3 linked regions of the Diceros bicornis minor genome follow. The protein of the gene in region 2 purifies or fractionates together with the protein of the main gene of each other region. This does not show direct contact. Links are inferred from orthologs where the notes say so. Each region holds a gene or a part of one and is shown on either strand. Other genes may lie near its edges.

What was found.
Region 1: the proteins of MEPCE (region 2) and HNRNPA1 purify together in Homo sapiens (affinity purification with mass spectrometry; 3 studies listed by BioGRID and IntAct, counting the BioPlex papers as one, with this or other methods). This does not show direct contact. The link is inferred for Diceros bicornis minor from reciprocal best matches to the Homo sapiens genes MEPCE and HNRNPA1.
Region 3: the proteins of MEPCE (region 2) and SNRPE purify together in Homo sapiens (affinity purification with mass spectrometry; 3 studies listed by BioGRID and IntAct, counting the BioPlex papers as one, with this or other methods). This does not show direct contact. The link is inferred for Diceros bicornis minor from reciprocal best matches to the Homo sapiens genes MEPCE and SNRPE.

What each region holds. Positions count from the first base shown.
Region 1 is NC_080756.1:16,116,084-16,123,701, forward strand, and holds the start of HNRNPA1 (heterogeneous nuclear ribonucleoprotein A1), read right to left. Parts: upstream 3,014-7,618; 5' UTR 2,922-3,013; coding exon 2,907-2,921; intron 2,352-2,906; coding exon 2,235-2,351; intron 1,938-2,234; coding exon 1,791-1,937; intron 1,642-1,790; coding exon 1,431-1,641; intron 1,334-1,430; coding exon 1,241-1,333; intron 1,155-1,240; coding exon 1,062-1,154; intron 768-1,061; coding exon 693-767; intron 492-692; coding exon 333-491; intron 1-332. UniProt on the Homo sapiens protein: Involved in the packaging of pre-mRNA into hnRNP particles, transport of poly(A) mRNA from the nucleus to the cytoplasm and modulation of splice site selection.
Region 2 is NC_080765.1:5,362,167-5,369,583, forward strand, and holds the start of MEPCE (7SK snRNA methylphosphate capping enzyme), read right to left. Parts: upstream 3,005-7,417; 5' UTR 2,158-3,004; coding exon 493-2,157; intron 1-492. UniProt on the Homo sapiens protein: S-adenosyl-L-methionine-dependent methyltransferase that adds a methylphosphate cap at the 5'-end of 7SK snRNA (7SK RNA), leading to stabilize it.
Region 3 is NC_080743.1:101,799,421-101,806,608, forward strand, and holds the start of SNRPE (small nuclear ribonucleoprotein E), read right to left. Parts: upstream 3,014-7,188; 5' UTR 2,964-3,013; coding exon 2,910-2,963; intron 2,529-2,909; coding exon 2,502-2,528; intron 1,419-2,501; coding exon 1,356-1,418; intron 464-1,355; coding exon 385-463; intron 1-384. UniProt on the Homo sapiens protein: Plays a role in pre-mRNA splicing as a core component of the spliceosomal U1, U2, U4 and U5 small nuclear ribonucleoproteins (snRNPs), the building blocks of the spliceosome.

The DNA.
Region 1 (7,618 bases), on a different chromosome or scaffold from region 2:
AAGGCCTTTACCCGTTCAGGGACATTGCAAACTCAGGCTGGATACATCAACTAAGTGCCTAAGGTCCCAAAGGAATTAAAATACTAACTAAATCCTGCTAGAAGCTAATCTAATTCCAATTCAAGACACCACTATCCACTTACCCATCTATTTGGGAGTGAGGCGGCCCCAGCTTAAAGCTAGGAGGAGGTAGCATTAGCAAGCCCATTAAAAAAGAATACCATGCAGCGTACCACGTTAATGCTTTAAGAGCACCAAATCCCCACATGAGCATCAACTCCAAGAGGCTAATCTAGCTACTGCACCAAGTACTTGGATCACTGGATACCTACCACTACCACCGCCAAAGCCGCCTCCGCCTCCTCCGTTGTTATAGCTGTCATAGCTGCCACTCCCGCCATAGCCACTGCCCTGGTTTCCATAACCCTGTCCACCACTTCCATAGCCTCTGCTTCCTCCAGAGTAACCAGGGCCGCCTCCTCCATAACCACCTACAAGAATACAATTCTTCTCAATAAGACAAAAGTATTCAACAATCAAAACCTGTGCAAGCGTAATGGCTAAAAGCCTGCTCACAGCATGCTGTTATGGTCAGAGCTGAGCTTGTCATGCACTAAAATTTTAGTCTCTACTAACCTATTCTAAAGGTTGTCAAAATATTTTCCACCTGTGTATTCCTTGAGAAAACTTACCATCATTACCAAATCCATTATAGCCATCCCCACTGCCACCATATCCACCACCACCACGGCTGCCGCCAAAGCCACCTGGAATAAAGCAGTGTTTTAAACCAGGTTTGACGTTTACGGATTGCATACAAATCACACTCTTCTAAGTCTTAAGTTTTAGGAAGCAGTTCCTGTACTGCAAAAATGATTTCCATACCAAGAATTTTAACTTCTTGTTACGAAGCCAGAACTACATTTGGATAAAATCTAACTTTGAAAACGTGGGCTAGTAGTTACATCTACCACAGGTTGCAAAAAGGACAAGTTACCTGGGGGTAATTAAATCACAAGCTTACTGTTAATTCTTAGTAGTAAACCATTAACAATACATACCTCGACCACTGAAGTTTCCTCCACGACCAAAGTTGTCATTCCCACCAAAACCACCTCCACGACCACCACCAAAGTTTCCAGAACCACTTCGACCTTGAGAGAGAAGTTTTAAGTGTTAAACCACGCAGGTTGGAATTATTCAAAGTGATCTTTAAGGTTTAATTAAGCAAAAAACCCACCTCTTTGGCTGGATGAAGCACTAGCCATCTCCTGCTTAGATAGGGCTTTCCGTACTTCACAGTTGTGGCCATTCACAGTATGGTATTTCTGAACTAAAAAATGTCAAAGATAAAGAGAACATGATCTCACCGTTTGGAATACAACATGGACTTCAGAACCCTTAGCAAGTGCCCATCGTCTGATACTTACTGACAATCTTGTCTACAGAGTCATGGTCATCAAAAGTTACAAAAGCAAAGCCTCTCTTCTTGCCACTGCCTCTGTCAGTCATGATTTCAATCACTTCAATTTTCCCATACTGTTCAAAATAATCTCTTAGGTGATGTTCTTCAGTGTCTTCTTTAATGCCACCAACAAATATCTTTTTCACAGTTAAGTGGGCACCAGGTCTTTGAGAATCCTAACAGGAAAAACCCCATTAAGTTGTTTATTTTGGCGAAATCTAGCCCAAAATCAAGAATGTTAAAAACCCTGTAACACCCACAAATGTGACGTCTACCTAGTGGCACACTTCTAAATGACTAATGGAAGGAAAAAAATATCACTTACTTCTCTTGAGACTGCCCTCTTTGGTTCCACAACTCTCCCATCCACCTTGTGCGGCCTTGCGTTCATGGCTGCATCCACCTCCTCCACAGTGGCGTACGTGACAAAGCCAAAGCCTCTGGAGCGCTTGGTGTTGGGATCTCGCATTACCTGAGATGTCAATTGATTTAATACACAGTAAGACTCCAAAACCTACAGTCATTTCTAGCTTGAGTAAGGTTAATAGGAGGCTCTATGCAAAGCTCTTCAGTTTCCCACTACCCACCTCGGGTAAATCCATTGAAAAGGAGCTTTTAAACAATTTAACAAAGCCCCACCTTCCCTTGCCAAGCTGTTTCTAACTCGAATCCTGTCAACAATCTTCACAAGCAGTCGGACAGGAACCATAGCAAGATAAGCCAAGAAAATCAACTGGTTCTATCGCCTTTTGCCTCTTCCAAGTCTTACCACACAGTCCGTGAGCGTTCCCCATTGCTCAAAATGGCTCCTGAGACTCTCGTCGGTTGTTTCAAAGCTCAAACCTCCGATGAAGAGCTTCCGCAGCTGTTCGGGCTCTTTAGGAGACTAGGAGCAGGGGAAAAAAGCGTTAACTGGGCTATAGTGCGAAACACCTTCCACTTGAGAGAAGCATAACTAGACAGCAACCTACGAAGCACTTATTGTTCCCTGGGGCCGCAGCAGGCCACGTGCTTCCCCCCATCAGGGGAGGCGTTATGTTCGGGGCTGGGAGGGCTGGGGAGCCGCGAGCGCATGCGTCGCCACTCTCCTTCCGACGCACGCGCAACAAAAGGACCCGGCGGGCTTGGTACGTGCCAGTACGGGACTGTAGCTGCTCCTCAAGAAACTCGCCCACCGAGACAAGGGGAAAAAATAGATCGAATGTGCCGAAGAGTTTTGCCAGGAAGAACGAGCCCGGCGTGGTAGCTAAGGGTTGCAAGACGACGGCCTCATGGCGACGACGAGGACAAAATGGCGACCTGAACTTTGGGAGGAGTAGGCCCTGGCAGCGATCGAAGAACTACCGAATGGGCTGGTACAAGCAGCCAAACCAGGCCGCGTCCTACCGAACTCAGGGGAGGGCGAGGAAGAGACTGAAGTTGGAGAGAGCGTCTTACTCACCTCTGACTTAGACATGACTACAGTGGGACGGGAGACCTTAACGATGCTTCCTCAGCGGCGTCCACAAGCAGAAAGGAGTAACCTACTAAACGTATCTGCCAGCCTACCTTCGGCCTCGCTTTTTTATCCCGCCTCCTCGGTGTCGGCATTGGTAGACTCCGCCCCTGCGTAGCTCTGATTGGTTATTTGAAACAGCTTCCCCCTACTATTGGTCTGTGGTGCCGCACTGCTGTATAACGTCATCCGTTTGGGCGTTCTACGCAGTCTCCACCCCTTGGGGGCCATTGGTTCCCGACTAATATTATTCTTAACCAGACTGATTGGCTAGCCAATCAATCATTCATATTTTAATACACGTAAGCTATGTAAATAACTTTAATCCTCCACGCCCCGGATATTATAGTCAACCCACGGAGCAATGTATGATTAATACTATGTATTGGAAAAGTAGTTAGCATGTGATAATTTTTTTTCTTTTGCAAAGATCGCCTGCTGAGCGCATGTGTAGTAAAATGGCGAGTTTACGCAGGCGCATTAAGAAGTTCCCCCTGGCGCTTGGAACACGTGAAATGGCGGGCGGGAGACAGCGGCGGACCTACAGCGCCTGCGTAGTGGCGGGAGTTGTGCTCCGTTTTGCGCAGGCGTAATGGGCGGAGAAAGGGTCCGGTTCCAGGATTGGTCGCGCAGGCGCAGGGAAGGATCCGTTTTGGCGGGCGGTTGGCGTTGCGCAGAAGGCGGCGGCAGCAGTGGCTTGTGGTCCGGCCTCACCATAGAGGAACGGGGAAGACGTTAGCGTGAGTGATCGGTCTCCATCCCGGGTAAGTGGCTGACAGCCTTGCCTACCCATACGAGGTCTTGAACCGACTCCAGTTGGGCCCGTTATTGTGTGAAATGAATGGACTGTAGGGTGGGGGCCAGTGAAAGGGGAGCGGTGGGTCCGGCCAGCCAATGGAAGAAGAGGGGCGGGATGTTTTAGCCGCATAGGTTCTGTGGAGCTTTGCATCCGAGGCGTTTGACTGGCGAGTGTATAGACCAATTGGGTCTGCCTGTAGCCGCCGACTGCGCGGTCCTTGGGCCATCGGAATGTGGGAGGCGGGTTTTCCCCTCCTGAGCAGCGTGTCTCCGAGCCAATGAGCACGCAGCGCGCGGTAGGTTGGGCTCCTCCGAGAGGCCGCCGTGTGACTCCAATGGGGAACGCGGGAGTCGGGCGGGTAAATGGATGGACCGGTTCTGGAGCCAGTAGGCGGTCAGCCTCCGGAAGGCGCTCGCGCAGGTCGTCCAATGAGCGCTCCAGAAGAGGGAGGTCTTAGATTTGGGGTAGTGGGGAGGGGATTCAATGCCCGTGATGGCGCGTCGGGGTAGGTATTTCATCCACAATGACTTCTCTCTAACAAAGCCCATGGGCCTCCATCCCCAAACCTCCCTGGTCCGGAAGCTCTAAGTTTGTTCCCGTGTGTCTCGATTTCGGCATTTTTTTCCCCACATCGGTGCATCCCGCCGTCCACCACTTCATAGGTTTTAGGGAGAGCAAGGGAGGTTTTTTGACTTTAGGAACTCGCTTCTCTAGGAAGACTGACTTGAAATGTTAAAATGAAGAGGATAAATCTTTATGTATTCTCGTGGAAAGGCGCCCGAAGAAATTCTGCATCATAATAATGCATATTTCCACGGACAAATCGATGTTTGTAAATCCGTAGAAAAAGTTTTGGAAAGCTACATGCCAGAGTGTGTTACCTCTAGGCATAAAATGGGATCGAGGCAGGTGGGATCTATAATGCTTAAATCCTCGCAGGGATAATACTTTGAGACTAAAGTTAAGTTAAAAGGTCAGTTTTTGTGTTTCCAGTCATAATCACGTACTTCTCGTCACCCATTTTCTCCTTACACCTCGAAAGAGAGCTGTTTTTCCCTTTAAGAACTAAGGTGATTCTCGGTATAAAAATATAAATTTAAAAAGGTAACTTTTTTTTGAGTGCTTAGTACCTGCTAGGCATCATGCTCAGCACTTTACAAGCATTTTCCTTGTCCCCACTGCCTTTATCTTAGCCTGTGAGGAACTTTTCCCCCCTTATGTCTCTTTCTTTGCATCGTTAAAGATTCTCTAAGCCCTTCTTTCTGCTGCTCCTTTGAGGATGTCTGAATTTGGATAAGAAGGAAGTTGCTTAAGGAGAGTGATGACATTTAGGGTGTTGGGAACAGGAGGTCTCATTTATCACCTGGATTATTTATTGCCTTTTGATTGTATTTCCTTCAGTGTTTATTTTACATGCAGTCCATCTCCTGTTGGTAATGTCCATTCTGCTTATTCCAAGATGTTTTCGTAAAATATAAAAATTTTTATTACATATTGGCTGTATTAGAGTCTGTACTGCTCCATTGTTCGTTGATTTATTTAGGGTCAAAGGAGAAAAATTTAAATACTGTAATAAGTTCAACTACATATGGAGCACACTTATGCTTAGAGTTTTCTGACATTGTACAAAAGAAAGATGATCTTAGTTGAGCTTGTAATGAACAGAGGAGAGATTTCCACGTTCTCTGGCACTTGCAAAGGACCTATTTCATATTTGGTTATAAACTATTTGTAGGTATGCTAATAATGCAGCTGCTTAGCTTATAAGAACTGAAGAGACACAAGTTAAGGCTATTTGTCCCTTAGGTTTGAAAGGAATACAATCTTGATGTACGACAAGGTTTATCAACCTCATCACTATTGATGTCTTGAGCTGGATAAATGCATCTCACCTCTCCACACCCTGATTTATGACAATCAGAATGTCTTCAGACATTGCCAGATGTCCTGGAGTGGGTGCGTGGGGTGTGTGCAAAATCTCCCCCAGTTGAAAACCATTGATCTAAAATGACAGATACTAGAGTTGGTTATCTCATCAAAATCTTTTATTTTACTAATTAGAAATTAGAGGAAGAAGATGGTTGAAGTGTTTATGTTTTTAGGAATTGGCCTATGGTTAATGGATCACTAAATCCTAATGATTATCTCTTCGGCTATACAGTGATAATTGTTTCATTGGATAAAAGGAAAATTTCATCAAGATTTTTACCATTCCTTGCAATTTAAACATGATTGCATCTTGTGTTCATTTGGCTTCCTAAAATAATGAATGGCAAATATGTTTTTGAAGAAGGTAGACTTTGCTTCTGATGCTTCTTACGTTTTCACCTGATTTAAGTCTCTTTCCTTTACTGGAATTCGTTTGGATCAGTGTCTCAAACTTTTTTGACCTTGACCCTCAGCAAGAAATACACATTTTATACTGAACCTGTACTCACATTGAAACAATGTATACACTATACAAATATGTATATAAATATAAATGTGCAAAGCACTCTGGTATTTCCTCATCTATAGGACACTATTTCATTTTCTTAAAAACATAGATCAGTTTCTGCTGAAATGATTTCACAGCTGTGTACAGACCCACAGTTTGGGGAAAAAAGAAAAACAAGCAATCTGAAGAATAGGTAACCAAATCATGCCATCTTAGATGTCTCTGTGAGTCAATTCTTCTCAGCTCTAGCCCCAGCAACTTGGATTTATAAACAAATTAATCAATGACCCCTTTTTGATATTTTTAATGTATACTTTAATTTGAAAGATTTCAGGATTTGAACATAGACTTCTTGGTTTACTGTGCTGTACAAGTAAAGATTGTTTTATTGTGAATTCTCTTGCAGTGTCATAGCTAATAGGTCTGATGAACATTTCTCCCTGGTGGGGAAATTTTAGTGGGTGATTTTTCATTGATATTCTGAGATTATCACATTGAAAATCCTAACTTTAGACTTTTATTTCTTGCCTTTGAAGACAGGTTTGGTTGTTAACTTGTACCACTCCGTTAACAAGACAAAATGTTGAGTCCTTGTTAGAAAAATTAAATTTTGAGCACTTGTGCTTATAACTTAGAGGCATAAGATTGCAACCAAACCAAAAAAGGACATTGTTCACTAAAAGGGAAAATAATACATCTTCACTGGTCTGTCTGAAAACCAATAAATAGGAAACTTTTATCTGGGTTGTAGGTGACCAGGATGATGATTGGGGAAAGAGAAAGAAAAAACATACCTCTGAAGTGACTGGATTTTTATATGTCTAGGAAAGTTCTGGTGATTTTCAGAGCCTTTGACAGTAGCTCTAGAAAAGAGAGGAAGGTACCCAGGGTACATAGGTTTCTGATGAAGACGAGTAGTTTTGCTTTTTATTGAGGTATTTATTTAACCACATAGTATGATTTACATATCTTATTGGAATAGCCCATTTAACAACCCCTGGTAAAGCATTTCTTTCTTTTTTTTGTTCTTTTACTTGGTCTATTTTTATTTCCATTCACCTTACATGAAATTGGGCCTAAAGCTCTGTGCTGTGGATATTGATTTTAAATGTAATAAATTACAGTGCAAGCTATCACTGATAACTCACTCAGTATGGCTGCCCTTAACACATTGTTATTCATGAACTTCGACTCTGGGCAGTTATCTTTTTTCCCTGACATAAACCTTGATTTTCCTTCTCTCCTTATGGAGGATGGCTTTAGCTGATCATTGTACTAATGGGAAGGAGTCCAGGTCATCCTGAGAAGAGCTGGCTTGTGCGGAGTCCAAGACACAGATTTGTTGGATTTCTGTAAGCCACTCGGAGCCACATATTCATTTCTGATGACAACGTTACACTTGTGTTGGCAGAACACCCACAG
Region 2 (7,417 bases):
TAACTCTGCAGCTATTGCAAACAAGGTCTCTAACCATGGACAGACACCATAAATATTAGCCACTCCCCTAATCCTCTCCCCACCCCAAAACATTCCATGTCTAACCCCCATCTCTTCATGCACCTTCAGTCGACTGGAGGACAAGTTCTCATATGGACCAAATCCCCCAGGGAGCATCAGCAGCAGCCCCCGAGGGAAGATGGACTGGTATGGATTCTAGCCCAGGCCAGGAGCAGGGCAAAAGGAGTCAAGCCCTATCTAGTCATGAGAAAGAACCCCAGATAAAACTCTCATCTTTCCAGGTTATAGGAGGGCAGAGATACCCAGCGCAATCCGTCTCAGATTCCTACCTTTCTCTTGAGGCTCTGGTCCTCCTAGTGATGAGTGCATGCACAGAAATCCCTCTAGGTCATAACCTTCCCCTCCCAGGTTCCCATTTAACCTCATCTTCATACTTGGCCCCTATCCCAAAAGCCTTATGGACCCTCTTACCGTGACGAAGACAACATTGTTGGGGAAGACTGATGTGTCCGCTCCATCCAAGGGCACTTGGGGTGCAGCAATGGGACCCCGGCTGGCTGTCAGTGAGGCTGGGAAGCAGCTTCTCTTTCGGACGGTTGTCGTCCCTTCCTCACTCTCTGCCCCTGGGTCCCCCTCAGAAGGCTGGGGTGGCAGACGCAGCTCCTCGGACAGGTAGTGTCGGATGTTTTGGCGGGCGGAGTGGATGAGCCGTGCATCAATATCCAGGCCCACCATTCGGGATGGGCCCCACTTACAAGCAATGTTCAGGGCCAGATGGCCCACATTGCAGCCCAGATCTAGGACGTCCCGACCCCGAAACCACTCAGGCTTCATCACCCGAAGGCGCCCATCCTCACAGGAAGGATTGCGGTACCCATAGTACTTGCAGTAATTCCCATACTGGAACTTGCGCTGTTGCTTTTTGAAGCCTGCTGCAGGTAGTGGGTGGAGGTGGTGGCGGCCTCCCCCACTCCCTCGGCCCTTTTCCTTGGGACCCTGGCCTGCACCCCTAGCCCCTGCCTCCGACTTGCTGGAAGTCCTGCGACGTTTGCGATGTCGTGAGGAGGAAGATGAGGGTGCACAGGTAACTGAGGCAGCTGGAGGGGCTGGAAGGGAGCCTGAGGGACCCTGTAGGGCGGATGGAAGGGGAGACACGACCTCATCCCTGCAGTTGATGGCTGTGTTGAGTTCATAGGGCTGGGGGGCATCCCGGTTCTGGCCTTTATGCCGCTGCTGCTGTGTGGTGCCCTCCCCATGGAGTGAGGGCGTGAGGGGAGCTGTGGGCAGCACGGAGTGGCTATCATTCCCTCCAGTTGCCTGCTGCTGCTGGTGGTGCTGTCCCCGGTGTCTATGCCGCTTCCGACCAGTCTTGAGTGGCGAAGCAAGAACTACTTGGGCCTCATCAGTGCAAGTATTGAGACTGAGCGGGTCAGTAATATCTTTGGGGATGAGGATCTCCACTGGATCTCGCCCCTTGGCCGGAAGTGGTGATGACTTAGGGGTCTCTGCATTGAGTACGCGGCTCACTTCCTCATCCAGGAGACTATTCAGGTTCAGTGGATCAAAGATATTGCCCCCCAAGAGGAAGTTGGAGGGTAACACAGAGTCACAGTCCGAATTAACCCGCCTGCGCCTCTTGAAGGCCGGATGTTTGAAGCCTCCACCACCTCCCCCTACATTACAGCTATTTCTCCTCTTGCCTCCCCCTCCCCCAGGGGGGCGGTGGGGCTGATAGCCATTTCTGGGCCGAGGAGGGGCAGGGGGGCCCAGTTCTGTTCCGCCCCCTCCCCGTCGCTCCTCCCCCACGTCCGGGGGAGCGGCTCGCCCGTGGGGATCCGTCAAGCGGGCCTCCCCGTGCGGCTGTGCCTGGAGGCCGCCCCCTCGTTGCTGCTGCCCCTGGCCGCCCCGAGGAGTGGATGTAGCCCTGGGGCTCTCCTTGCCGGCCCCAGAAGCCGGGGCCCCCGCCGAGTGTGCGCGCGGGCCCAGTCCGCGCTGTGTCCCGCCGCGGAGCTCCCCGGAGGCGGCCTCTCGGTGCGGCTGCACCGTGGGGCCGCCCCCTCCGTCCGACTCCTCTTTGAGCGGCGGCGGCGGGGCCGGCACCAGAAACGGCTCCTTCTCCGCCGCCATCTCGATCATTTCCTCCCCTTATTCCGTCCCAGTCGAAGGCAACGAGGGGGGCCAGGGGGCTTAACCCCCCTTCCTAGATCCCGCTCCCTTCCCCCCCTTCCCCGAGTGCGCGCGCAGCTCTGCTCTTCTCGCCTAGTCTCGCGCCCAAGCGCCTCCCCCGAAGCGCGCCCTTCTCGCCCACGAGACCAAAACAAGATGCCCGCGAGACCCGAACAACTCGAGGAATCAACCGCGCCTGCGCCGACCCCTTTCTCCTCTACCACTGCCGCTTCGCCGCGAGCGCGCACTGCTAGAGCGCATTCCTCTCGCCCCGGAATCACGCATGCGCACTCCGCCACCACCCTGGTTGCGCGCGCATCGGAGTACGAACCAACTTAACGGCTCCGGGAGTTTAAATATAGCCCCCCACGACCCCCCAAAAGCCCACCACCCCAAACTGACACCCTACTTCCCTTCGCAGCTATGTCCGTCCCTACTGATATCCTTTGTCTCTGCCGCGCGATCCCACCCACCGTAGGCGGGGGACGGGGAGCTGGTGTGAAAAGATCTCCTTGACACCCGACCCTTGTTCCTGAGGAATGAGTCTCAGCGGTCTCCGCCCGGCTCTAAACCCAACAACCTCCCTACCCCGCCTCCTTCCTCCCCCTAGCCGGCAGCGCCTGCGCACACCCTTTCGGGCTTGCGCGGGTAGATGCAGCACGTGCTGGAGATGACGCCCCGCCCTCCGTCCCAGGGGCGGGGACTGTTACGTCGCTTCCTCAGGTTTGGTGCACGCAACGTGCGTCAGCGTGATTCGAAGGGGGCGTGGCTAAGGGACGGGGCGGCACTCATGAATTATTCATGACCCGATTCCCCCCCCCCCGCCCTTTGCCCCCCTACTTAGAAGAGCTGAGGAAACGGAGGGGTGAACCTAAAGGTAGAGGAAGGGAAGGAGCGGATTATACTGACCGTCTTCCTACGAACTGCTCTCAGTAAAATACGATAGGTCATTTTAACTCACCCCTCTGGCAAATATTCTCTGCTGAACTGAAAAGAAAAAAAAGAAAGGCACTAAAACAGCCGATGTTGTCCAACTTCCTCTTCCCTCGAAATGGCCGAGTCGTTCTCGCGCTCCTCCGCCTTCGCCGAATCGCGATCACCTGGGGACACCACGCCCTCCTCTCCGCCTCCACACCCACAGCCCAGACACCAACACCTCCGCCCACCACCCGACGCCTGCGCACGAGCCCCCAGCCCGCGGGCTGCGACCCCGACGCCCACCACAGCCACCACCAGCAGTCCATCCACCTCCACCGCCACCTCGCACGCAGGCCTTCCCGAATGCACACGCTGCGGCTTCGCGCCGCCTTGTAGAAAAACGAATGTGGGCGGGGAAGAGATTTCGGCCTGCTTTGGGCTCCCTGCCTCGGCCAATGGGGAAGAAGCTATTCGACCCCCTTTCCACGGGGTGCTAGGTGGCCCGTTCTCCCTGCCAACAGTGCTGGGGGTGCGGGGCCTGTGGCTGAGAAGAGGGCAGGAGAGGTGAGAGTGGGGTTCACAATAGTCTCAAATAAAATATTAAAATAAGGGCGTGAAGGAGACTAAAAGGAAGAATAGGAATCGGGGAACGAAAAGGCAGTCTGGGACACAGAAAAGTTAGTAAAAGGAAGAGGTGCTTCACGAACGATCAGGCGCTGCAGCTGCCGCCTAAAAAAAGTGAGGCTAGCGAGAATTATGGGATTAGTAGTTTTACAGGGCGTTTGGTTGGAAGATGGCGGAAATCGCCGCGCAAACGCAGAAGCGGCTTCCAGCTGCGCATGCGCCTCAGCCCTGGGCTGAAGCCGCTGAGGAGGGGGTGGAGCTTGTGCGTGGGCCTCGCACCTCTTCTTGGTGGCGGGAAAACCGGGTCGAGGTTGGAGGGGCTTGGAGAATCGCTGCAGTAGCTCACTCGCTCCTCTTCACTCCAGAAGGTAGCTGGCTCTTCTCCGGTTGCAGATGAGGGTGCTAGGCGCGGCCAGTCCTGGTACTTGTGGCCTGAGGAGAACTTTTCTCCTCAGGGGACAGCCAACTCTTACGCCTCCTGCTTAGGCTCTCTAACCGCAAACTCACCCCCAACAGACACACAAAAGTAACCCAATATGATGGCGGGCAAGGACGGGCTGAGCGAGAATGAGGATCGTGGTGCCTCTGTGTGTGGGGGCGGAGGGGTGCAGCTGAGGGGCAAGTCTCTGGTGATGGGATTCTTGACGGGGAAGAGGCTAGAAAGCCACTCTTTGAGGGCAGTCAAGGACTTTCGACTCTGTGAAACCTCCCTTCGTAATTGCTGTCCTCAAGGGAGAATTGGTGAGGGAAGAGAAGAAAAATGCGGAAGACCCAGAGTTCTTCCCTTTGGTTTTAAAGGTGGAGTCAGGCCCTTCCCTGTTCCACACTTTGGCACCTGGTGAGGGGAAATGGTGCGGGGGATGTGCTGCTTGAAGCCAAAGCAACACAAAAAGGCTGGTTTGAGGTCGGTAGCAGAGGCACGTGAGGAAGCATTTCAGGCGGTGGATAGCAAGAGTTTGGAGGAGATGAGAGTCCTGAAAGAAAGAGCCTGTATATTGGTGATAAGTGGCCGCGTCCCCGTGCTTCCTTGCCCTCTCTGAACCAAGAAGCTTTAGTTACTGTGCATTTATTCATGAGTCTGTAAACGGTTTAGTTCAAGTAGTTATGACATTTAATGCTTTAAGTGGTCTAGTATGGGCAGTAAGGGTAGCTGGAATCTTTCTTTTTTGTCCTTGTGTCTTGTTAAAAGTTTTAAATCATGCTCACTGAGCACAAAAAAAGCAGAAGAAGAAACAAAAGACAAGAACTACTGTTACTAATCCAGTCATGAAAATAAGCAGGGGTTTACATGCCATTAGACATTAATGCCACAAGGAAATTAAACTCCAGTTTAAAGGAGATTTTAAATACAGTCTTTAAATACAGTTTTTTGAGGCTCTCAGAGTCTGTGTTAGAGGACAATTCTAAAGGGTTTGCTTTTATTCTTAGACCAAGGATTCCAGGAACAATATAAAGAGGGAAAATGGGATAGTTAGGAGGGGGAAATTTGTGAAGACATTCTAAACAGGGGGAGGTGGGAGGAGGATTAATGCTTTTTGAAAAATATTGACAAGACTGAATTAAGTTATTTAGCTAGATCAGTTCTCAGACATTTTGGTCTCAGAACTCTTTTATACTCTTAAAAATTATGGAAGACTTCAAAGATTGGCTTATTTCTATTGATATTAATATATTAGAGATTAAACAAAAATTTTAAACATTTATTAATTTTAAAATGATAATAAAATAATTACATGTTAATATAAATAACATTTTTATGAAAAATATATTTGCCTAAATGAAAGAAAATTTAGTGTGAAGAATGGCATTGTTTTACATTTTGGCAAATCTCTTTCATGTTTGGCTGAAGAGAATACAGCTGGGTTTTCATCTGTTTTTGAATTCTATCTGTTATGATATCTTGTTTTGGTTGAAGTATATGAGGAAATCCAGCCTAACACAGATAAGTAGCTAGAAAAGGGAGGGGACCCCCAGGGGTCCCCCAGGATCACACTTTGAGAACCTCTGAGCTAGGTGATTTCATCTTAAAATCAGTGTGATGATTTCTAGCGTTCTAAGTGTAGGAAAACTGTCTATTTTTTGGAACACCTCATTCACCTCCCCTTGGTTCCCTTTATCAGTTATTTCTGAGTTCTTTTCTCTTCCTTATTCACTCCTCTTTCTTATGTTGAGTGGGTAGGATCTGGTTTATGGAACTTTCTTTTATTTTCATATTTAAAGCTTTATTAGGTGTTTTTTTTCCTCTTTCTCATCTAAGGTAAGAAAAGAGAAGTTAAAATGTCAAATGTTACTCCTGGGTTTAGAGCCCATAGTCATTTAGTAGCTGATCAGTTGAAAGTTGGTGGTATTTTGTATATTTATTAACTCTTTTTAAAAATTTTTCCCTCTGAACTAGATTTCAATATTTGTTATTGTGAAAGAAAATAGTTTGTCTGAAACAGAGGAGCAGACACTTGAGTTGTCAGTGACTACCTGGATTTCCCTTCTCTGTTGATCAGGTTAGAGATTTTCTTTAAAAGTAATGTGCTTCTTCACACCCCCACTCTAAATTAAGGGGAACTATTATACATCACTGCTTATAGATTTACTACATCTCATTAATAATCCACATTAATTATACAACGATCCACCAATTTTATCCAGTTGGTTGGGGCTCCAGTAACGCACTTTGGCCTAGAGAGGTCAGTGTAGGTTTAGATAATGATTTGAAACTAAATATTGGAAAATGTTGCATTTTTAGGTTGATCAATATACTCTTTTTATTATACTTGAAGAACTTAAAATTTAAAAAATCACTGTTGAAGTGGTAATATATGTATGTTATAAAATGCTAGAGATACACAAGGGGATACAGTAAAAAGCTCCCTTCACACCCAGCCACCCAGTTCCACTCCCAGAGGCATTTTTGTCAGTTTCTTGTATATTCTTCTAGAGATAGTTTATGGATATATAAGAATATTATGTATATGTACATTTTTAAAAATTGAATGTTGCCATCTCAAATACACTAATTTTCATTTTGCTTTTCTCATTTAGCATAGCTCCTCTTGTAATTTAGTTTACCTTCATGGGGACTTCTCATGATCATTTTTGGTATTTCGGAGTCTGGGAGAAGATATATGGCCAAATTAATATTTCTTTTGCAGCCTAATTTTATTCAATGTCTAGCTTCTATTTAGGATTAACATAAAGAAGGAGACCAATTTGCTGCAATGTTTCTCCTCTAATTTTCCATTTGTCTTTTTTCCTGGAGCAAATAAGTTTGAAGGTTGGTGGTGATGAATTAAGATGGAAACAGTGAGAAATGTTCTCCTTGATATAAAGGAAAAGTAGTTACTGCAGAACAACACATCTGAATTATTCACATTTATAGAATTAAGAAAAGGACAGAAAAATACCAAAAGATAATTTAAAAATACTTTACGTTCAGCCATGCTGTGACCACGCTAAGTCAAAACCCCAACACCTTTTGAATTTATCTTGAGATCTAGAGGGAGGAACTCTACACCCTGAACAACTGAGTTTTTACTATAGCCTGGCCATTTGAGGGTCTTAAAATTTTCAGATCCTTTAAGGGGAAGTATATATGAACCAGAAGATCCATTTTACGCTGCTTTTGGGTCTCTTTATAGTGGAAAATGGCACAGTTGGAAGATTGAGTTTCAGGTGTAGGGCCTTCAAAGTACTC
Region 3 (7,188 bases), on a different chromosome or scaffold from region 2:
TGAATATACAAAAGTCTGAAAAGGAGTAACTAGAGATGAACACTGAAAACCTAAGCATAGTATCATAATGCCAAGGGAACAGTTTTTAAGGAGGGAGTGGCCAACAGTGCCAAATGCTGTTTAGAATTCAATAACATAAGGACTAATATTGACCATTAAACACCATTAGTCTTCGGTGACCTTGGTGAGAACTGAGTGGACAGGCAGGAGAAATGGAGTGGGGTAAGGAATAAGTGGCAGAGCATGATTCCAAGTGTGTACTACTCCCCCAAATAATAACTTCTCAAATACAAACTAAATTTAAACATGAACTGAGTTGCAAGTCATTCAACTGTACCAGTGAATACAAATTTCTACAATTCTATAAGGCATCTATATTCTTACCGAGTTGTTTTCTTGACTTTGTTTTAGAATGAATCTCTTCTGCATCATCTAATACGAGGTTCATATACTCATCAAAACCCTAGAAAAATAAGCCAATTGATGACTGTCATCTTCAAGTAAGATCACATCCAAACCATTCTACAAGAACACACTTATGGAGGTACAGAAATGCCAACCAACTTCAGAAATTCACCGCTACACTGATCTTTCAGCTGAACACCACCTCCCACCCTAAGCCTCTCCTTAAATAACAAAGAAAGCCAGCATGTACTCCAAGTTACTTCTGTAACCTTTTGGACTAAGATCTCATTAGTTATGCCAAAGAGCCATTCTCTCTACCTTTTATAAGCTGCCCAAGGTCGAGTACACGCCTACATATGTGAATTAACATCTACTGCACCGTTCTTCCCATGCTCCCCACAAAACACTAACACCACTAACCACCACGCCTGCTTTCCAACTAGTAAACAGGGAAGGGGAGATTATATTGATGGAATCTACAAGTCTAAACGGAAAACCAAAGTGTCTGAACATAATACTTTCAACCATATTTTACCCTTCTTTAAAACATTATTTAGGGTACTCTGCCATCCTGGGAGTCTTATTTAACTAACCCCACCAAGCTCTATTGAGGTATCACCTAACCCAAAACTAACACTCCATTAATCCTCACCGCCCCCCTCAATTTTATTTCTTTTGTCCTCTCCTTTGAATACTAACACTGTTGTTTAAATAATTTTTAAAATTATTTTAAATTTTTAAAATAAAATTAATTTTAAAAATTAATTTTCCCTCTCTTTTTTGAATTACCCAATTCCTAACAATGAGTAGAACAATGAGACAAGGATAGTGGGCCCTAAAAAACTTTCCTTGGGTTGGGTCTTGGACTTTCTGTACATTGCTCTGGCTGGCCTTTTCTGCAAAATCTTTTTCTGTGAACTAACTGGGTAGTAAATGTCCTGGGTACTCACAATGATACAGCCCTCTATCCGCATATTCACTTGCTCGTAAAGCCACACCTGAATCCGAGATCTCTGAAATAATCATAAAAATAAAAATGTTAAAAAATAAACATAATCCAATCACTTTGGTCAAACAACAGAGAAACAAGGCTCCTAAAGAAACTTCAAAAATTTCAAGTCAAGAGTTTTAACCACTTAACACATACCTAAGAACTGGTAACTAAGACTAGTTACTTGCCAAAAAACATTCTCACTTAATAAATGCTGCATTGGGACTAAGTTAATAATTTCCCTGTGATCTTGGAACTCAATCACATTTCTTACTGCTTCTATTCTCAATACATTTCAATTGAAAGTTGGTGACAGTATCGCACAAAGCAGGAATTTCTAATGACCAAGTGCTTCTTTCTCACCTGCTATAAGAAAATCCAGCTCCAAAACAGCTTTCTCTAGGTTCTTGGTTTTCCATGCCTTACACCTAACAATCAAGGGAGGGACTCTCAATTCTGGTGATTAAAAATTACAATGGCTTGAAATTAATGTTTTCCAATTGTATTGTCACGCTAAAATTTGTAAGAGCAACAGGAACTACATTTTCCCTCAGAAATAATTTAAACACTCTGCCCTGCCAACTCAAAATCTGAGGTGCTAAAAATCCTCCCAAAAGAAAGCAGGCTGCCACTAAACCGCCTGAATCTATCCCTCCTCTCTCTTTTTTTACTGTCTTTTTTATGTTTAAGTTTTCCTCCAGGTACTAAACACACCACCTTATGACGTGGTTTAAAGCTGACTGGAGTTTTCTTCCGACGTCTCACCCTAGGGGAAAGAAGAGGGAAAGGTTCCAATGCCCTGGCCATAACCACTACCAATATCCAAATACCACTGACACGTCTGCCAATAATTACTTTTTGAAATTAGTAATCTCGGTCTTGCAAAGTAACGATGACACGATTCTCTGATGCTTGGAGCTGGCATGGCTACACACCATTTTACTACATTAGAGCTTTCCCTGTACCCTTTCCCCTCAAATGCCCCTCCAATCTCCACAGTTTCCACCTATTTTTAACTCTAGAACACAGTGATCAGACAGAATGACACAGCCAAATAAATTCACTCTTTACTCAAAGAAAACTACGAAACTAACGACTTACGTACGTTTTGCAAGTATCTGAAGATGAGGTTCTGCACCCGCGGTTAAGGAAGAAGTACACGCACAGCACAGGCTCTGGCCCCTGAGCGAGTCAACCCTAGCCCACCGTCCCCTGGTCGTCTTCCGAGCGCGAGCTCTGCCGCCTGCACGACACAGGCGCCGCCCCCGGCCCTCGAAGGCGCGCCCTCTCACTCCGCGGGACGCCGGCCCCCGCCCTCACCAGGACTCCCGCAGCCGTCTCCCCGCGGCTCCCGCTCCCCCGGCACGGTGCTCGACTCCCGCGCCTCCTCCGGCTCGGCCGCCCGCCCGCGGGCTCACGGGAGGTGGCCGCGGCCCGCGCCCTCCGGCCTGCCGTCCGCTCTTCGCCCCGTTTTCCGGCCCGACCCCCCAGCCCTGCCGTCCGCGGAGGATACGATGGGCTGCACCATCACCTTCTGCACCTTCTGGCCCTGGCCGCGGTACGCCATGGTGAAAGCGGACAAAGGCCACACGAACGCGCACGCCGCCTCAGAGCAACTTCCGGAATAAGGAACCGGAAAAGCAAGTGTATGGTCCCCGCGCGGCGACCGGGGAGGCTCCTGGGAAATGCCTCTCTAGCCGGGGGGCTCGCTTTTCTCGGTGCTCTACAGCATCCGGGGGAGGCCCGACTGAGGGGAATGGCGCTTTGGAACGTGGGCCGGTCCTACAGCGCCACCTGGAGGCGGCGGCTCGGTTTGAGTCGGCCGAGAGAGGTAGGCGGCCCAGGCGGCCCTCCGCCTGTGGAATGGGTTGGTTTGTGCTTTCCTAGGCCTGTCCGCCTGGAACCGAAGGTGACGGCCGCGCTGTGGTGCGGAGGGGCGGGCGGCGGGCTCGGGGCGCACCTGGCACTGTCCGGAGGCGGACGCCGTGGCTGCGCCGTCGTGGGCCCCGTGAGGTGGGGGGACGAGGGGCGCGGCCGTGTGCGTGGGGGCCCGGACCCTGACTCCGGGCTCCACCCGCCCCGACCGGGAGGACACGGGCGGGTCCCTCGGCCCGCCGGCCTCAGCCCAGCTGTCCCCAGACGGGCGGACACTCGCCCCGGGCGAGTCGGGGCAGCGGGAGCGCGCGTGCGTGGTCCGCACACCGCGTCCGGGGGCCGGCGGGAGGCGGGGTCCTGGTCAGCTGGAACCCGCGTTTCATGGATGAAGACGCTCGCTCAGAGCTGAGGCCCTGGCTCAGGGCGCCCCTTAGAGGAGGGGCGGACGTTCAGTGAGGAAAGAGGGATGCCGACCTCGTGAAGGGGTTGAGGTCAAAGCGTACGAACGTGATTTTTAACCTATGAAGAGCTAGGAGACAGTGGAGTAATTATTTCTCAAAAAAAGTCCCCCGCCCCAAACCCAGTGGAGAGTGTGGGGCCAGAGTGAACTGGAGATGTGCAGGGTTCAGACAGCTCGGATCGCACACTGCCCTGCCCAGCCCATCGCAGGTGTGAAGACCTTGCTACTCGTTTTTGCGTTTTCCTGTCTGTTTCTGAAGTCGTGATTCCTAAACTTTTGGGGATTGATCCCTATAACCAATCATTTGACTGATAGGTCATATATACAACTCATGAGAAGTGATTTGCTTTTTTTTTTAATGATTTTAAATTTAATCTTTTAAATTTAAATCTTTGATCCATCCAGAATTGATCCCAATGTATCCTAGAACTGATACAACTTTATGATTTCTAGATGGCTACCCAGTTGTCCGTCACCATTACAAAAAAATAACCCATTGTTCCCCATTCAATTTAAAATTCCACGTTTATAATATACCAGTGTATGTGTATGTACATAGTTTATATTTTGTTCAATTGATCTTTGTGTCTGTGGACCAGTATCACTGTTATGAGTACAGTATTGTATCTTTATAATTAGTTTTCTTATTTGGTAGGACTAGAAGTAGGTAGAATTTTCCTAGCTATTCTTATTTTTCTTACAAACTTTAGAATTAGTTTATCTAATTTAAAAAACTTTTGGTATTTTTACTGTGATTACATTAAACTCTAGAACAACTTAGGTTAGTTTTTTTAATCTAAGTACATGATATATTTTTAATCTGACATAAAGACTGAAAATAAAAATTGGCAATGGTTGTGAACAATCAGTTTATAGCAAAGGAAATAAAATAGTCCTCAAACATACAAAAAGATGCCCAACTGCTCTCATTAAAAGAGAAATGCAAACTACACTATGCTGAGAAACCATTTTCCCCCATTAGGTTGGCAAAGATCAAAAAGTGGTGGTAATGTAAATTATTAAACTCCACTTCTAGGTATTTAATCCTACAGATAAACTTACATGTGTGACATAATGTAATCATCGCAGCATTGTTTAAAATACCAAGACAGGAAACAACCTAAATGTCTATCAACAGGGACTGGCTCAATTACTGCATATTCATATAGTGTAATACTATGCAACTATAATCAAGATTAAGAAGCTCTTTGTCTCCTGATATGATATCCAATATATAGTAAGAAAAAACAAGCTGTGATGCATCTGAGATTTACTTCCAAATAATCCAGTGGAGCCAGCAGGGGATGGGGCAAGCCTAAGGAGCAAAATTTGAGGAATCACACTCACATGTGCAAGTACAACCCCGAGTGAGCACCTCCTTAAATTGTGCTCAGGCATCTGGCTTACCTCACCCTGGTCCCAGCCATGGGGCCCAGAGTAGGGGATGGACAGTTGGTGTGGGTTTAGATGAAACAGGATTTGTCGTAAATTTGTAATTCATAATTTAAAACTATTCATAATAAAAAAGGTGCAGAATATCATGTGTTTTATACATGATATTGTATGGAAGTATACTTGCTTATATATGCCTGAAGTATCTCTGGAAGAATCCCTGAGAAACTAACAACATTGGTTTTGGAGAACTCAGTAGCTGGGGCAGGAGTAGGAGGGAGGATTTTTACTAAAGCCTCATGTACATTTTGAATTTTGAAATGTGGATGAATATAGCACCAATTGAATAAATTCATGAAATAGTGGAAAGTACTATGAAATATTTGTTTCCTTTTTTTATTGCAACTAATCATAATGTTCTTGTAAAATTTGAGATTTTCATGACACTCCCAAGGTCTCTGCAAAATAGGCTGGAGAATCACTGGTCCAAAGAGGTACACCCTGCGATAAGAGTCACCTCCAGACCTCCCAAATATTGAAGAACATCCTTCCTTTCAGCTTGAAGTTCCTTCCGTCTCATCCAGAAGCCTCACAACTTGCTGAATGGCTGTGATTGATTAGAAGCACACCAAAGAATGGGGCTGGGAAGACAGGGGCAGTGTAGCAAAGATCAGCAGCCCCTGAAATGGGTCAAGAACTTTTTCATTCACTCAGCAAATGTTTATTGAATACCTTGTGTTATGGGCTGAATTGTACCCCCCCAAACTCATATGTTGAAGCTCTAACCCCCCAGTACCTTAGAATGTGACTGTATTTGGAGATACGCCCTTAAAGAGGTAATTAAGGTTAAATGAGGTCATATGGGTGGACCCTAATCCAAGGTGATTGGTATCCTTATAGAAGATTAAAACACAGATACATGCATGCAGAGGAAAGACCATTTGAGGATATTGAGAAGGCAGCCATCTGCAAGCCAGAGAGGCCTCAAAAGAAACCAAACTTGCCAACACCTGGATCTTGGACTTCTAGCCACCAGAACTGTAGGAAACTAAGTTTCTGTTGTTTAAGCCACCCAATCTGTGGTATTTTGTTATGGCAGCCCTAGCAGACTCATACACCTTCCATGTGCCAGGCCTGTACTAGGTGCTGACTATATAACTTAGTAAGAGTCTCTGTCTCAAGGAGTTGATACTCTGCTGAGGAAGATGGACAGATAAACAATTTTCAAACAATGAGAGTAAACAGAAATTACATGCCTAGCTGACAGGCACCAAACCTGTTTGAGGAGAGGGATTGCAGGGTGTAGGGAGAGGTAGCTTGGAAGTCACAGAATGTGTAGGAGTTAGCCAAAAGAAAAGAGGAAAAGAAAGAGATTTTTAGGTAGAAGACAGCATTAACAAAGGCAAAGGGCTAGAGATTAGCGTATGAGGGAAGTCAACAGCCAGTAGTTTTGCTGGAGTGAAGAGCATGAAGCGTCAGTGGCCAGACAGGAGGCTGGTAGGCAGGGCTTACATGCTATGCTAAGGGTCTTGAATTTAATTTTGGAGGGAAGGGAACGGCACTGGAGAGTCTTACGAAGCAAAGTGATTCAGATTTGCATTTAGAATAGATCCTTCTTTCTTTTTTAAAAGATCAGTTATACCTCAGCCACGAATAGTTGAGAGCAAGAATGAGACAAGGCAGAGACCCGGAGGGAGTACCAATGGGATGGTCAGAGGTCATTAAAAACAAACTTTATCTGTTCAATTTGGCCTTGTTTGCAGCTCAGATTATCTCCTTTGCTAAGCTACACAAAACTCCAGCTCTGACACCTCAAGGAATCCTTCCCTAACCAGTCTCAAACTCACTGATTGCTCACTCATTCCTTCTATAGCACCATCCACTTAATACTTGCACCTACTTCATTTTTGTTAGTTTTCTCTTAAAAATGTTTTCTAAGTATTTCAAGGGCAGGGTTTGCCTTAAACCCATCTCTCTCGTAGCCAGTAGTGTTTAATGATGGTTAGAATTCATGATGTTCTAATCTGAGCCTCTTCAAGGGATGAGAGTCCAAAATATTTTGTGG